Oryctolagus cuniculus: one gene and its partner. The protein of the gene in region 1 purifies or fractionates together with the protein of each later gene. This does not show direct contact. Links are inferred from orthologs where the notes say so. Each region holds a gene or a part of one and is shown on either strand. Other genes may lie near its edges.

Region 1 (4,384 bases):
CTGGGGGCGGGGCCGCTGGACGCGGGGGTGGGCGCTGCAGGCTCCCGCCCCTCCCCGCAGGAAGTCCACCACCACCGGGATTGGAAAAGGAGGCCCCTTTATTGAGCGCGGGGACCCTGGGGCTCGCCCCGGCCCGTTCACAGCACGGTCTAGCTCCGCTCTACATTCAGCCGGTCCAGGACGGCCGGTGCCGCGGGGAGGGGCCTCGCAGGGCGGGGACCCCCAGAGGGCAGCCCCCGCCTCCGCCAGGAACCCCTCCCACGCAGGCTCGGCCGGGCCGGGGTCAGTCCAGCGCGTCCAGCCCGGGCCCGGGCCCGGTGCCCGCCGGCCGCCCGTCGCTGGGCGGGCTGCTGATCTGGAAGCGGGCCTCCGCGGAGATCCCGAACTGCTCCAGGGGGTCCTAGGGCGGCGGGCGGGGAGACGCGGTGACCCGGGGCCCGGGGCCGGGAGCCCCGCCCGCCCGGCCGCCCCGCACGCGCCCCCCGCACCTTGCCCGTCATCTTCTGGATCTCATTCCGGTAGAAGATGAGGCTCCTCCGCATGACCTCGTAGCTGCGGGAGAGGCCGTGCCCGCGGGGTCAGGCCGCCGCCCCCGCCGCGCCCGCCGCGCCCGCCGCCCCCGTCGCGCCCGCCGCGCCCGCCGCGCCCGCCGCCCCCGCCGCCCCCGCCGCCCCGGCCCCACCTGGCCCTGCGCAGCGCCTCCGTCCACTGCCGGCACTGCTCCTCGCTGCCGCACTCGAACACGTACTTCCTCTCCGGGTCCTCCAGGAAGCCTGCGGGAGCGGCCGCTGTGGGTGCCCGCGCCCGCCCCGCGCCCGCGCCGCCCCGCCCGGCCCGCGCACTCACCGATGGAGAAGCTCCGCGCCTCCTCCTGGGCGACCCGGCAGCGCTCCAGCAAGAGGGCTCCGACGGGCTGCGGGCACACGCGCCGTGAGCGGGGCCGCCCCGCGCCCGCGCGCCCCGCGCCGCGCCCCGCCCCCGCGCCCCGCGCCCCGCGCCCACCTCGGCCTCGTCCGTGCGGAAGTAGAAGAGGAAGTTCACCACCAGCTTCACCAGGCGCCGCTTCAGCACTGCGGGCACACAGCGGGCTCAGGGCGGCCGCGCGCCCCCGCGCCCCCGCGCCCCCGCCCGCGCCCGCGCCCGCTCACCGCTGCCCTTCTTGGGGCCCCGCATGCCCAGCTCAGCCGCCATCTCGGCCGGCTGCCGGGACAGCGCCTGCAGCTCCTTCTCGTTGTAGCGCATGGCGCCGGCGCTGCCCGGGACCGGGAACGCGCGCTGCTAGCTCTGAGCCCTCTCGGCCGCCGTCCCCGCTCGCGCCAGAAAGATCCCAGGTCGGAGCCCCGGAAGCGCCATTGCGCCTGCGCGCCACGGGCGAGTCTTGCGCGCTGCGACCGCGGCGTGCTGGGGCGTGGGTACACGCCGGGCAGCCGCGACACAGCCGCGGAATAAAGTGGGTCTGAGGCGCAAGCAGGATCGAAGGACCGCCGAGCGCGGGCGGACGGGGCGTTACCGGTTCCCGCCCCCGCCCCCAAGAGCCGACGCGGGTGCGCGCGCGGAGCGCGTTGTGCGCAGGCGCGCCTCGGGCACGCGCATGCGCACACTCGAGGGCCCGTCCTCCCTCCGGAAGTGCTGCGAGCGCCCGCGCCGCGCGTGCGCACTGCGACGTCGTGGCGGCGGCTCCTGAGGCGGACGGCGGAGGCCTGCGACGCGGGGCGCGACCCACACGAAGTAGGCGCGGGGGCCATCGGGGCCCCGGGGCGCCCAGGGTGGGCTGGGGGCGCGGGAGGGAGGGGCCGGGGCGGGCGGCGGGCCCCACGGCGACCCCGGCCCTCCGGAACTCCGCGGCGGGCGTCGCGGGGGTCGCGGGGGTCTCGCGTCCGTCCGGGGCGGGCTCCGGGGTCCGGGGAGCGGCCGCGGGCCTTCGGCTGCTCGGCGGGGCGGGCCCGGGCCGCGGGGCCGCGCGCGGGGGTGCGTGCCGGCGTTCCCGCCAAAAGCCGCCGGGACCCCCGAGGCCGCCCCCGCTGGCGCCTTTGTCGTCGTGGGGGTCGGTCGCGGGCGCCCGGGGGGCTGCGGGGCGTCCCGGGTGCGGACGGCGATGCGGCTGCGTCTTAGATTTCCCTCCCGCAAGCCTGCGTGCCCGGGGCCGCGTCTTCCCCTCGGTCCGCTGTCCGACTGTCCCTTCGCGTGGTTCCCCCTCCCCCAGCCCTGAGGTCCTGGGTTCGCGTCCCGATGGAGGGGCTGTGGGGCCGCCAGGGCTCGTGCGTGGACCGCGGGCGGGCCCGGGTCGCCCTGGGGTCAGCCGGGGGCGGCTCGTGCGTGGACCGCGGGCGGGCCCGGTAGCGCCCTGGGGTCAGCCGGGCCGCCCGCGCCGTGCCCGGAAGTCGGGGTCGCAGGGGCGGGGTCTCCTCCCGCCGGTCCAGTCCCCGGAGGCCGGGCCGGGCCGGGCCGGGTCAGAGCAGGTGCGGGGCCCGGGCCGGCAGCCAGGACTCGGGCCAGTGCCCGAATGGGGCCCGAGCGGCCCCTGCCGTCCACGGGGAGGCCCAGCCCTGGCTTAGGGGCATTGGGGAGTGGACGGCGGGGGGGCGCCAGGCGGTCGTCCGCGCCCCCGTTCTCCCCGACGCCCGCGGCTGGGCCCGGCGGCTGACACGGGAGAGCCCGCGTGGGTGCGCCCGGGAGGGGCTGGGGGCTGCCTCCTGGGGTCTCCGGCCCCCGCCGCGTCCTGAGGGCCCCCCCCGGTCTGGGCTCCGCAGGCTTCTCCGGCGCTGAGGTCCGCAGGCCGGCACCATGGACTTCCAGCACCGCCCCGGCGGCAAGACCGGGAGTGGGGGCGTGGCCTCCTCCTCCGAGAGCAACCGGGACCGCCGCGAGCGCCTGCGGCAGCTGGCCCTGGAGACCATCGACATCAACAAGGTAGGGCCGCCCGCCCGCCCCCCCGCGGGGCGCCCCCGACGCCCCCGACGCGCCCGACGCCCCCGACGCCCCTGACGCCCCTGACGCCCCGCGCCGCTCTCCCCCAGGACCCCTACTTCATGAAGAACCACCTGGGCTCCTACGAGTGCAAGCTGTGCCTGACCCTGCACAACAACGAGGTACTGGCCGGCCTGGTACCCTGCCCCCGCCCCTGCCTGCCCCCGCCCCGCCCACCGGCCGGCCTGAACCCCTCGCCCCCGCCCCGCCCACCGGCCGGCCTGGCCCCCCCCCTCCACCGGCCGGCCTGATCCCCCCCCTTCCCGCCCTGTCCACTGGCCGGCCTGGTCCCCCGCTCCTGCCTGCCACCGGCCTGGCCCCGCCCCCAGCCGGCCTGATCCCCCCGCCCCCGGCCTGACCCCCGCCTGCCGCTGCCCCACCCCCCGGCCGGCTTGGTCCCCCCCTCCCGCCCTGTCCACTGTTCGGCCTGGTCCTCCCCCACCCCGCCTGCCGCTACCCCGCCCACCGGCCTGGCCCCGCCCCCGGCCTCATGTCCCGCCTCCTCCACGCAGGGCAGCTACCTCGCACACACTCAAGGGAAGAAGCATCAGACCAACTTGTGAGTGCCCCCCGCGCCCCCCGGCTGTGACACGGGGGAGGGCCCCTTGACCCGCCCCCCAGCCGCAGGGCCCCGCCCCTCACCCCCCCCGCGGGAGCCCAAGGCCGGGCAGGGGGGCTCCTGCACCTGCGCCCGTGGCCTTGGCCTGGTGTGGAGGACCACAGCGCCCGTCTGCCCCGCCCCAGGGCCCGGCGCGCAGCCAAGGAGGCCAAGGAGGCGCCCGCCCAGCCCGCGCCCGAGAAGGTCAAGGTGGAGGTGAAGAAGTTCGTGAAGATCGGACGCCCTGGCTACAAAGGTGAGGGGGCGGGGCCGCCCGACACCAGCCCTGGGCGGGGGGGGGGGGGCAGGCGGGGACAGGCGAGGCCCTGGGCAGGGAGGGGCAGGCGGGGACAGGCGAGGCCGTGGGGCTGTGGGCAGGCGGGGTCCTGGGCACGGAGGGGCAGGCGGGGCTGTGGCGTGCAGCCCTGGGCCGGCCCTCTGAGCTGGGACCTGGGCCTCACCTGCCGCCCTGGGCGGGACGTGGGGCTGCGGGGGGGCCCCTCACCGGCCCTGGTGTTGCAGTGACCAAGCAGCGGGACACGGAGATGGGCCAGCAGAGCCTGCTCTTCCAGGTGGGCGGGGCCGCGGGGTCGGGGGGGGGGCCGCGGGGGCGGGGCCGGGTGGGGGCTGCGGGGGCGGGGGGCAGTGGGGGCTGGGGGCCCCTGACACTGCCCGCCCGCAGATCGACTACCCCGAGATCGCCGAGGGCATCACCCCCCGGCACCGCTTCATGTCGGCCTACGAGCAGAGGATCGAGCCCCCGGACCGGCGCTGGCAGTACCTGCTGATGGCCGCCGAGCCCTACGAGACCATCGCCTT
Region 2 (3,638 bases), about 5.8 Mb from region 1:
GACAGCAAGCCAGCCATCCAGATGCCCGGCTCCTCGGACTACGACTCCGCGGGCGGCGTCCAGGACCCTGCAGCCGCCGGCCCCCGGGGCCCTGGGCCCCACGACCAGATCCCACCCAACAAGCCGCCGTGGTTTGACCAGCCCCACCCTGTCGCTCCCTGGGGCCAACAGCAGGTATTGCTTGGAACTCGGGCTGGGGGCGGGGGACAGCCTTGGCCTGCGGGGCTGGCAGCCACCCGAGCCGCGGCCCATTCCCGGCGCTCCCCCTGAGCCCCTGGGTGAGGGCTCTGCTTCCCCAGCAAGGGCGCTGCCCCGGGTCCTGAGGTCCCCACCCCGGCACAGTGCGCCAGGCCGTGTGGCACGCTGGGTCCGGTCAGAGACTGGCACTGGGCATGGCCCCCGGGGTGCGACTGCGAGCAGTAGAGACAGGTGTGTGCTGGCCATTCCGCAGCCGTGGGCACAGGGGTGCGGGGTCCAGGCGCACCTGCCCTTGTGCCCTCTGCCAGGGCGGTGAGGGGGCCCGCGTGGGGGCACGGAGGGCCCGGCAGCCAGCTCGCTCACGGCGCCGCCTTGCCTTGCAGCCTCCGGAGCAGCCCCCCTACCCGCACCACCAGGGCGGGCCGCCCCACTGCCCCCCCTGGGGCAACAGCCACGAGGGCATGTGGGGCGAGCAGCGCGGGGACCCCGGCTGGAACGGCCAGCGCGACGCGCCCTGGAGCAACCAGCCCGACCCCAACTGGAACAGCCAGTTCGAGGGCCCCTGGAACAGCCAGCACGAGCAGCCGCCCTGGGCCGGCGGGCAGCGCGAGCCGCCCTTCCGCGTGCAGCGGCCGCCGCCCTTCCGCGGGCCCTTCCCGCCGCACCAGCAGCACCCGCAGTTCAACCAGCCGCCGCACCCGCACAACTTCAACCGCTTCCCGCCGCGCTTCATGCAGGACGACTTCCCGCCGCGCCACCCCTTCGAGCGGCCACCCTACCCGCACCGCTTCGACTACCCGCAGGGGGACTTCCCCGCCGGTGAGGGCTGCATCCCTCCCTGGCCGTGCCCCCCCCCCCCCCCGGGAGCAGCACCCCACAGCGCGGGGTGGGTCACGGGGCAGCGGCTTCCCTCCTAGCCTCCCCTGGGCCCACCCTGCGGGGTCAGGCCCGCAGCCCTGACACGAGTCTGGGTCTTGCAGACATGGGCCCCCCGCACCACCACCCCGGCCACCGCATGCCGCACCCCGCCATCAACGAGCACCCGCCCTGGGCGGGGCCCCAGCACCCCGACTTCGGCCCGCCCCCCCATGGCTTCAATGGGCAGCCCCCCCACATGCGGCGGCAGGGCCCCCCGCACATCAACCACGACGACCCCAGCCTGGTCCCCAACGTGCCCTACTTCGACCTCCCCGCTGGCCTCATGGCGCCGCTCGTGAAGGTGAGGGCGCTGGGCCTCGGGGAGCCCCTGGGGCCGGGCCGGGCCGGGGAGGTGGGGCTGCGGCCGGGCGGAGGGGTCTGGGCGCCAGCGAGGGCTGTGCTCCCCCCCAGCTGGAGGACCACGAGTACAAGCCCCTGGACCCCAAGGACATCCGCCTGCCGCCCCCCATGCCGCCCAGCGAGAGGCTGCTGGCGGCCGTGGAGGCTTTCTACAGCCCGCCCTCACACGACAGGCCCAGGAACAGGTACCGCTGGGGGCCGTGCGCCTGCACCCCCGTCAGGGCGGGACCCCAGGACCCTCCCGAGGGTGACGCTGCGGTGTGGGGAGGCCGTGGGAGCACTCGCTGTAGTGCGGGGCCGCAGCTCACGCGCCGTGCGTCCCTGTCGCAGCGAAGGCTGGGAGCAGAACGGCCTGTACGAGTTCTTCCGGGCCAAGATGCGGGCCCGGCGGCGGAAGGGCCAGGAGAAGAGGAACAGGTGAGGCCAGCGGCGGGCGGGGCGGGGCGGGGCTAGTGCTGGGGGCGGGGCTGGGGCGGAGCGCGCACTCACAGCCTCCCCCCGGGGCAGCGGCCCCTCCAGGTCCCGCAGCAGGTCCAAGAGCCGGGGCCGCTCGTCCTCCCGCTCCCGCTCGCGCTCCTCCAAGTCGTCGGGCTCCTACTCCCGCTCGCGCTCCCGCTCCTGCTCCCGCTCCTACTCGCGCTCCAGGTCCAGGTGAGCGGGCGGCCCTGGCGGGGCGGGGCGGCGGCCCCAGCCCCCTCCGCCCCCTGACCGCCGCTGTGCCCGCAGGAGCCGGAGCCGGTCCCGCTCGTCCAGAAGCCGCTCCCGGTCCCGCTCGCGCTCCCGCTCCAAGTCCTACTCCCCGGGAAGGAGGCGCCGCTCGCGCTCCCGGAGCCCCACGCCACCGTAAGACTCGGCCCGGCCCTGGGACAGGTGGAGGAAGAGGGCCGGAGCCCGCGCCCCTCCCCGCGCCGGCCGCCCGCCCGCTGTCCGCAATAAACGCCTCCGCTCTCCTGACAGTAACCGTCTTCATTGTAGCTCCTCGGCCGGCCTGGGCGCTAACTCGGCGCCCTCCATCCCTGACTCGAGGCTCGGGGAGGAGAACAAGGGACATCAGATGCTCGTGAAGATGGGTGAGGCCCGGGGAGAGGCCGCCCGCGCCACGGCCACGCGCGGCACCGGGGTGGGGCCCGCCCCGCCAGCCCTGCCAGCCCTGCCAGCCCTGCCAGCCCTGCCAGCCCTCCCCGGCTCTGACCGCGCCTGCCCCCCCCAGGCTGGAGCGGCTCCGGCGGCCTGGGCGCGAAGGAGCAGGGCATCCAGGACCCCATCAAAGGGGGCGACGTGCGCGACAAGTGGGACCAGTACAAGGGCGTGGGCGTGGCGCTGGACGACCCCTACGAGAACTACCGGCGCAACAAGAGCTACTCCTTCATCGCCCGCATGAAGGCCCGGGACGAGTGTGAGTGGGCGCGGGGCGGGGCCGGCGGGGGCGGGGGCGGGGCAGGCGGGGGCGGGGCCGCGAGGCCCCCGTGACCTCCCGCCTCCCCCGCAGTCTCCACGTTCGGGGCCCGGAAGGAGGAGAAGGAGGACCTGACGCACGCCTAGGCAGGAGCACGCTCCGAGGGCGTGGGGCCCACACCCCCATGCGGGAATCCTCACCTGCAGGAGGCCCCGGGCGGCGCGGGGTGGCCGGGCTGAGCCGGCGGGGTCTCCACCGTGGCTCCCGTGGCTTTAGCGTTAGAGCGAGCTCTGGCGGATGGCCCCGGGCCTGCGCCCCGGGCCTGGTTTTCCTTTAGTTGGATACTTTGTCCTTTGTGTTTTCCCTGCCATGTGGGCGGCCGCCTGTTCCCGGAGCGGAACGGAGCGGAGAGACCCTGGGGGCGGCCACGCGTTCCGCGCCGTCGACGGCACAGACACGTTCCTGCCAAGTCTCTTCAAGGAGATGCCGTGTCCCTCCGGCCCTGTGCGCGGGCCCGGCCTCTGGTTTGTCCCCACGTCCCGTAGCTGTGACTCGTTCCGACGCGTCCGACCAGGGGACGCGCACACGTGCTGTTCACGACTTCTTGTGGATTTTACTGTTTTGCCTTCAAATAAAGACTTTTTTTAAAGCCCTTTCCTCTGTGTGGGAATCCCAGGTGGGCTCGGCTGCAGTCAGGCGGCGGCGGGTTCTGGGTGCAGGTGCAGGTGGGGCCATGCGGCAGGGGCTCCGCCCTTCAGCCTGCCTC

Evidence for each region.
Region 2: the proteins of SF3A2 (region 1) and CHERP purify together in Homo sapiens (affinity purification with mass spectrometry; 3 studies listed by BioGRID, with this or other methods). This does not show direct contact. The link is inferred for Oryctolagus cuniculus from reciprocal best matches to the Homo sapiens genes SF3A2 and CHERP.

Annotation. Positions count from the first base shown.
Region 1 is NC_091447.1:59,110,006-59,114,389, forward strand, and holds the start of SF3A2 (splicing factor 3A subunit 2), read left to right. Parts: upstream 1-1,572; 5' UTR 1,573-1,728; intron 1,729-2,352; exon of another isoform or gene 2,353-2,459; intron 2,460-2,750; 5' UTR 2,751-2,784; coding exon 2,785-2,910; intron 2,911-3,017; coding exon 3,018-3,089; intron 3,090-3,479; coding exon 3,480-3,526; intron 3,527-3,711; coding exon 3,712-3,821; intron 3,822-4,087; coding exon 4,088-4,137; intron 4,138-4,247; coding exon 4,248-4,384. Other genes in the region: PLEKHJ1 (pleckstrin homology domain-containing family J member 1), read right to left, coding at 284-400, 489-552, 683-773, 847-913, 1,003-1,070, 1,149-1,242. UniProt on the Homo sapiens protein: Component of the 17S U2 SnRNP complex of the spliceosome, a large ribonucleoprotein complex that removes introns from transcribed pre-mRNAs.
Region 2 is NC_091447.1:64,910,627-64,914,264, reverse strand, and holds the end of CHERP (calcium homeostasis endoplasmic reticulum protein), read left to right. Parts: coding exon 1-174; intron 175-581; coding exon 582-1,017; intron 1,018-1,178; coding exon 1,179-1,417; intron 1,418-1,527; coding exon 1,528-1,661; intron 1,662-1,806; coding exon 1,807-1,893; intron 1,894-1,983; coding exon 1,984-2,127; intron 2,128-2,202; coding exon 2,203-2,319; intron 2,320-2,451; coding exon 2,452-2,546; intron 2,547-2,686; coding exon 2,687-2,872; intron 2,873-2,965; coding exon 2,966-3,018; 3' UTR 3,019-3,525; downstream 3,526-3,638. UniProt on the Homo sapiens protein: Involved in calcium homeostasis, growth and proliferation.